Oryzias latipes: one gene and its partner. The protein of the gene in region 2 purifies or fractionates together with the protein of the main gene of each other region. This does not show direct contact. Links are inferred from orthologs where the notes say so. Each region holds a gene or a part of one and is shown on either strand. Other genes may lie near its edges.

What was found. The genes of interacting proteins can lie anywhere in the genome.
Region 1: the proteins of smc3 (region 2) and cdca5 purify together in Homo sapiens (affinity purification with mass spectrometry; 7 studies listed by BioGRID and IntAct, counting the BioPlex papers as one, with this or other methods). This does not show direct contact. The link is inferred for Oryzias latipes from reciprocal best matches to the Homo sapiens genes SMC3 and CDCA5.

The regions. Positions count from the first base shown.
Region 1 is NC_019869.2:20,009,650-20,013,012, forward strand, and holds cdca5 (sororin), read left to right. Parts: upstream 1-1,228; 5' UTR 1,229-1,347; coding exon 1,348-2,136; 3' UTR 2,137-2,808; downstream 2,809-3,363. Other genes in the region: psmb2 (proteasome subunit beta type-2), read right to left, coding at 351-421, 508-630, 1,013-1,103. UniProt on the Homo sapiens protein: Regulator of sister chromatid cohesion in mitosis stabilizing cohesin complex association with chromatin. May antagonize the action of WAPL which stimulates cohesin dissociation from chromatin.
Region 2 is NC_019859.2:36,690,837-36,694,486, forward strand, and holds part of smc3 (structural maintenance of chromosomes protein 3), read left to right. Parts: intron 1-578; coding exon 579-720; intron 721-1,398; coding exon 1,399-1,549; intron 1,550-1,980; coding exon 1,981-2,133; intron 2,134-3,650. UniProt on the Homo sapiens protein: Central component of cohesin, a complex required for chromosome cohesion during the cell cycle. The cohesin complex may form a large proteinaceous ring within which sister chromatids can be trapped.

The DNA of each region.
Region 1 (3,363 bases), on a different chromosome or scaffold from region 2:
TATATGTGTTTTTCTGACAAAATTGTATCCTGTTGTTCTGTTAGATCTCATAATAAAACCCCTACATGTTTCTTTTTGTTAATTTTTACAATCATTTTTGGAATTACATGCTTTCAAATTGATTTTTTTTTTTTTTTAATTTTAGTAAGAACACATCTTTTTGTGAGTGTTAGAGATGCTATTGGGTAAGACATCCGTCCATGGGGCCCTAATACGTTTCCCTAACAAAGTTAATTCAAGCAACACCCCTGAAAACGAGTACAAAATTCAAAATGTTTCTCTAGTGTTCAGTTTCAGGAAATGTTTATCTTTAAATGCTAAAAGTGTATTTTGCTCTCATGCATGGTTACCCTGCTCCGTAGGTAGTCTGCCAAGTTCTTCCGTGTGAAGTTTGCTGCTGCAGATGGACTCAGTTCGTAACCTTTAGGGGAGAAAAAGTTTCATCAATGACTTGTTCTGATCCCCTGATGAACCACAGACAGCTGCTCTGTGTAGTTTCCATCCTACCGTTCCTCATTTTGTAGAGCTGGACATTCTTCTGGATGTACTCAGCAAACTGCACCGTGTCTCCTGCTTCTCCCACGCACAACAGCAGGATCTTCTCGCTCAGTTTGAACATTTTATCATAATCTGGTGGATCAAAAAAAAAAACACCTTAGAACTTTCACTTTCACAGTTAGCCTGCATGAGGCTGCATAATCTGCTAATTTTAGAACAAAACCAATTATACAGAAAAACACCAAAAACTCAAATCGGGAGCAAAACTGCACCGATTTTTAAGCAAATATCCGCAAAAATAATTTAAATCGAACGCAGATTAGTTTCATTGGTTCGATTATTTGATATAGTGTGGCCAAGTATAAGAAACCAACAACAAATTAACTGTAAATTCGGAAATAAAAGCTTGATTTAACCAGATAAAATCTCAAAACGCTTTGAACTTTACCCCCCTAAATCTAAAATAAAAATCGGCGGAGCGGCTAATGCTACAGCTAACGACGAGCTACTTTACCGTGTTTCATTTGGATTATGCTGCTGGCGGCCACATTATCGGCGGCGACGAGAACAAAATCTGGTCCCTGGATTCCGATTAAATATTCCATCGTGAAAAACGCGAATAAACAAAAAAATGTAAGAATAATTCGAGGAAGCAGCCGCGGACAGCCGGGTCTGCTCAGAATATTACACAGCAAAAGTTCAGCTAGCTGCCTGTCGCATACTGGTGACGTCAAACCGCGCGACTTGGGCGGGCGATTTGAAACGCGGGAGTGTTTTTGTTGTGTGTCACCGAGCGGAGGGCGTCCGTCATCGGGGGAATTTTGAGGTTACAGCCAAGCTGTGTTGACCATGAAGGAAGGGGAGACTCACAGCGTGATGGTGGAGTCCAACCGACACATAGACCCGCCGCGGAGGCGTTCGCCGCGGCTAAGTTCTACCCTGCAACCGCCGGGGAAGATTGACACAAACATGGCCGCGCTGGAGGCCGTCCCGGTGAAACGGTCCATCACTCTAAGGAAAATAGCTCCGAGAAAAACCGTTACCTCCGCGGAGCAGGACAAGGAGAACACACCACGGCGAACGAGCAACAGACTAGGGCAGAAAAAAGAGGTGTCCACTCCTGACTTGGTCCCAGACCGCAGGGCCTCCGCCATCTCTTCGGCTAAGAAGAAGAAACAGGCCTCGATGCCGTCCCCGATCTTGCCTTCCTCCCCGCCGACCTCAAACCCCGCAGAAAAGCCGCCAGCGACCCCGGAGGACGCAGAATGGGCGCGAAAGGTGCGCCGCTCCTACAGCAGACTGAGCGACAAGTCCCTCCACAGCCCGGACTCTCGCGATACTTTGTTCGGCTTCCAGCATCTGCAGACACCGGAGGTGAACCGGGCGGCAGGGCAGTCCAGGAGCGCTCTGGAGCTTTCCTCCATTTCTGCCCTGAACTCTTTCACGTCTCTGCTCGATACCGACGCCGGCGGTGCGGCCGAACCGGACCCGAACATCCCTGGAGTGGCTGTGGTGAAGGAGAGGAAGAGGAGGCGGAAGAAGGTGGCGCCGATCGACGGCGTGGAGCTGGACGTTCTGGTCGCCCAGATGAACGCGGAGTTCCAGGAGGCGGAGGAGTTTGAGCTGGTGGTGGAGTAGAAACTGGCTCTACTCAAGCCCAGGGGAAGCTTCTCAAGGACTGTGATAAAAATAATTCAAGAAAATGTTAAAAATGTCCAGATATTTTTATTCCTTCACTTGGTGTGAAATAGTTTTTAAATACATTTTCAGTATCACATTTGCTAGTCGTTTGTAACTTCAGTTTTTTTGGTTTATTTAAACCGGACTTTATCCTTTGGCAGAATTTAAGTGCTAAAACCGTTTACTGAGGAGCATTTCCCCAAGAATTACGTTTGGAGCTAAAAGGCTTTTATTCTGAAATGAAGCTTGAAAGCTTTTATGCAAAAGTCTGGAGATAAAAAGCTTTGAGTCGTAAAATTGGTGCTGAACAGCTCTTACTTTGAAGTTTGAAGATAAAAAGCTTTTATTCTGACGATTGGACTTTAGAAACATTTATCCTAAAGGTTTTGACTGGAGACGCTTTTATTCTGCAGTTTGGATTCTCTTTTTTTTTTAACTTTCCCAAATGTTTTTAGAGAAAAATAAAGTACATGGCATCTGTAACCAGCACTTTTTCCTCTTTAATTTTGTTTTTTCTTTCTAGTTTAAGAGAAATCCATTTAAGGTTGTTTATATCTTATATGTGTCTTTTAAATACATTTCTTCTGTTCTGTGTATTTGAATAAAAGCAAACATCTTTTTTTAAACATACACTTTATTTTGTTTACCCTTATTTGTACAGTTAAAGAGTTTTAAATTATATTAAACAACAATTTTTTAGAACTTTGCAGTGAAATATCAACTAGCTGCAGAAGGAGATGACACAGGAAATATGAACAAATAAACTATAACATAGCTAAAGAATTCAACTGAAAAGCCTTGAATGGCCTTTCATCAGATCCTGTCTCAAACTGTTTTTGTGAAGCTCTGAAATTGATCAGTACTGTAAATATCCTACTCTATGTTTAATTTAACCTTATGGCAATCAGAGCGAGCATGAAAACCCGTTTTCTAACTGTACATATGACAAAAAAAAAACTTTGAATCCTTTCAATTAAAAAAACTGAGGGTGAAAGGTCAAAAGCAACTGTAACCCTATAACCAATCAAAATCGTTTTTTTGCATAATATCCAACTAAATTATACAGTTTTGCTTATAGCAGCAAAAGTCTAGAATCAGGACTTTTATTTCAAGCGAAAAAATAAAACCAAATGCATCAAATGAATTTAGATGTACAGTCACAAAATGATCAGATGATAAAGAAAT
Region 2 (3,650 bases):
GCGAGGGTTACATTCTAGAAATAAACCCTGATGGGGATATAGAACCATTTCCCCTTAAAGGAAAATTCTGTTGGATGTAGACCAAGTGGACCACAGAAGACTTTCTGATGTTACACTAATGTCACCATGGATTCTAGGTGTTTAAGGCTGTAAAACTCCTCACTACACACTTTCTACACTTTTCTCAGACAGACCTGAGCATTTTCCCGCTTTTCTCTCAAAGTTCAAACCTTCATAGGAAAATAAGCCCAGTATTATAGAATGGAAACAAAGATCTGATTGCGATGAGGGTTTATGTAGATTTGGCAAACTGAACCCATTCTGTACAGGAGATATGGCACAGACGAGGTCAGCAGCCAATCAGGATGCAGAACATACCAGGTGCTGTAAAATAAAAAGGTGAAGCGCGATATACTGAGGGAAGACTATATGTGGTAAACTGTAAGGGTTATGACCTTTTTATCTACTACTGTACAGCTGGATTAGATAGACGGTCATTTTTATTTTTGTTGTTGTTTCAGATATCTCTTTACATATAGTGACAACTATAAATAAAAAAGAGATCTCATGCATTTCAGGTTGTTTTACCACATCGTAGAAACAGATGAAGTCAGCACCAAAATACTGATGGAGTTCAACAAAATGAACTTGCCTGGAGAAGTCACGTTCCTTCCACTGAGCAAGCTGGATGTCAGGGACACGGCCTACCCAGAAACCAATGTAAGAACCCTTCAGCAAAGCTTCATTTGGACTTTACCTGGAAGTGGGGATAACTGACTGCTGTGTTGGAACTAGGGTTGTTAGGATCAATCAGTGAATCGATTTATCCAACCAGATCGATCTGTATGAGGCAAGTTGTTAATCAAATCTAATCTGGAAAATACCATCTGGATTGAGGGACGGTAGATTTTTTTACTAAAAGCTATGTGCCTCACAGCCATCAGCACACGTGTGATGTCAGCAAAAACTGACCATCATTCCAGTCCAATGTGTAGACAGACTGTGAATAAAGTCATGTGACCATCCAGTGTCTAGAATGTTCTAAGAATGTTCCCTTTGGATTCTTTGGATGTGGAAAAACAACAGTGGTGAACTTTAGGAAACTAACATGTGAATGGATTTGACATTCATTCTAGTTTACTTGTTGGTTTGGACACAGATTTCATTTAACTTGATGATCTGGAAGAAATCCAAGAATGACAGCATGAAGCCAAATCGACTGTGAAATGTATCATCACCTCAAATTACTACGATATGAACCGAGTCGTCGTTGAAATGAATGGTTGCACCTCTAGTTGGATGCTATAATAATGTTGTGTAGGACTTGGTCGATTCATTGCTTACCTTTAGACCTTAAGGTATAAATGTGTTTTAATCTGAACATTTCTGTTCCTAAAGGATGCCATCCCCATGATCAGCAAGCTGCGCTACAGCCCCAACTTTGACAAGGCCTTCAAGCATGTGTTTGGAAAGACCCTAATTTGTCGCAGCATGGAAGTTTCCACCCAGCTAGCCCGAGCTTTCACCATGGACTGTATCACTCTGGAGGGTGAGCTTTCCGTGCACTTTATTCTTCTCACACATTAATGGATGCTAAAGGCTTCAGTTTTGTCTTGAGATAGAGACCGTTTTTTCAACCGTTTTGCCAATCGTGATTCTGCACGGTCGTGCTTTTGCTTCATTCTTTTTCTTCCTTCCAACCGCTGATCTTTATAACTCTTGTCTTTTTTAACCTCTGCTCTTTGGTGGGCTTCACAGTCCCTCGGTTTTCAATTTGTATGTGAAAACCATCTTGATTCACCTACAAGGGATCTGAGACGTCCATGTTTTAGGCCAGACAGAAAAATACATGTATTTTCTGATTCAGAAGAGCTTTAAAAGCAGATAAACTCTGGTGTGAGGCGAGCAGTCATGTGAAAAAGTGATCTGAAGATGGTTTTATGGCGCTTCTGCTTCTTTACAAATGTGATTTGCCTCTAGGTGATCAGGTCAGCCACCGTGGCGCTCTGACTGGAGGCTACTACGATACGAGAAAGTCTCGCCTAGAGCTCCAGAAAGACATGAGGAAGGCTGAGGAGGAGCTGACTGAGCTGGAAGCCAAGCTGAATGAAAACCTGCGCAGGAACATCGAACATATCCTTTATGAAAGGGCAGTCCGAAGCCCGTTCACACCTAACGAGCATTCACCTGCACTGGTGTGACGTCCACTGCTCTGAGTTACAGTCAGTGTTTGTTTCAGGCAGACCGGCAAACATCTGTGTAGTCATTTTAAATGAAGTTCCTGCTAACTCACAAACCTCTTCTTTAACTTCTAATGGGCTCTGTGCATTCACTAATAATTCTTATAGATTTAGCAACGTTTTTCCTGAGCAGCAAATCATTTCTGTACAAAAGAACCAAAAATGTTCCCTTTTTTACAAATGAACATTTTTACTTGTCAAGAGGTAGAATTGTGCATAACTCTTAGCACTGACTATATGTAGAAAAGCATTACACCGAACATTTGTACTTACTGTAAACATCAATACTTGTACTTCAGTATAGAAGTACCTGGTACTTCAGTACTTACCAAACAAAGGTATAATGAAGAAAACAGTTGCACTCTGTGTTGCTAGGAGGCCTCCGTGATAGACCGCCGTTCTTTGGCTCGTGTTTCCAGCTCGGTTCTCCCGCTTTAACGCTGCGGCACAACTGGATGGTGACGCTGGAGATGCTGCTCATGTTGGACGTGTAGCAAAGCTGCAGACACCTCTTTCATTGTGTTTGACAGCAAACTCCACCCTGCAGATGTGTGTGCCGGGGGCACGTCTTCAGTGTGTGAATGTGTGTGTGCATGGGTGAATGGGACTGTGACTGTAAAGTGCTTTGGGCCTTCGAAAGAAGGTAGAAAGTGCTTTATAAGCATATGCCATTTACCATTTGCTTCAAACATTTGTCTCCACTCCATCAATATCTCCATTGTTCTCAGCATGAGCTAGCAGCTAGCACTAGTTCTGCTGCTCTGGTCCCTGGGGTGGGGCAATTAGTGATTTGGTAATTTCTTGAGGGGAGGGGGGCGTCTGTTTATGTGGCTGTTGGAGCTAAAAGAGCGATGGCAAACGACACACAGAGAAGTACACACTTAATGCACTGAGGAAAACTGCTGTGAAGGTCGTACTCTGCAGTTGGGTTTTATATTGTTGCATACAGACCACCAAACAGTCACATTTGCATATTTGGCTGTAAAATTTAGGCTGTTTTTAACAACAACAAAAAACTTGCTCTGTGTTTTAGGTTTTGGATGACAAGTCCTATTAGTAAAATATAAAGTCTTTAGCTCCAGGTTAGAGAAATGGAATTTGCAGAAAAGGAAAGTTGTCCCAGCGTTTGCGTTTGTGGCGTGTGGCGGTATCTTCCATGGAAGCTCATGAGTATAGAAGGCAGAGCGTCATCACTGGGGTGATTTCTCTCAGCGGAAGCTTTATTTTGAACAGGGATTACATCCACTGGAGTTATGTCGCTGCCTCCAAGCCAGCAGGAAGAAGGCTTAAGCAGGTCAAGAAGGATTAGTGTGTCCTGGGCCATATCTGCCAGAACCATGACTCATTTCAGGACAGCTCCTGAAGGAAAAAACAAGGGGATCAGAGAGGGTTTCATTTGGGTTTCTGCAT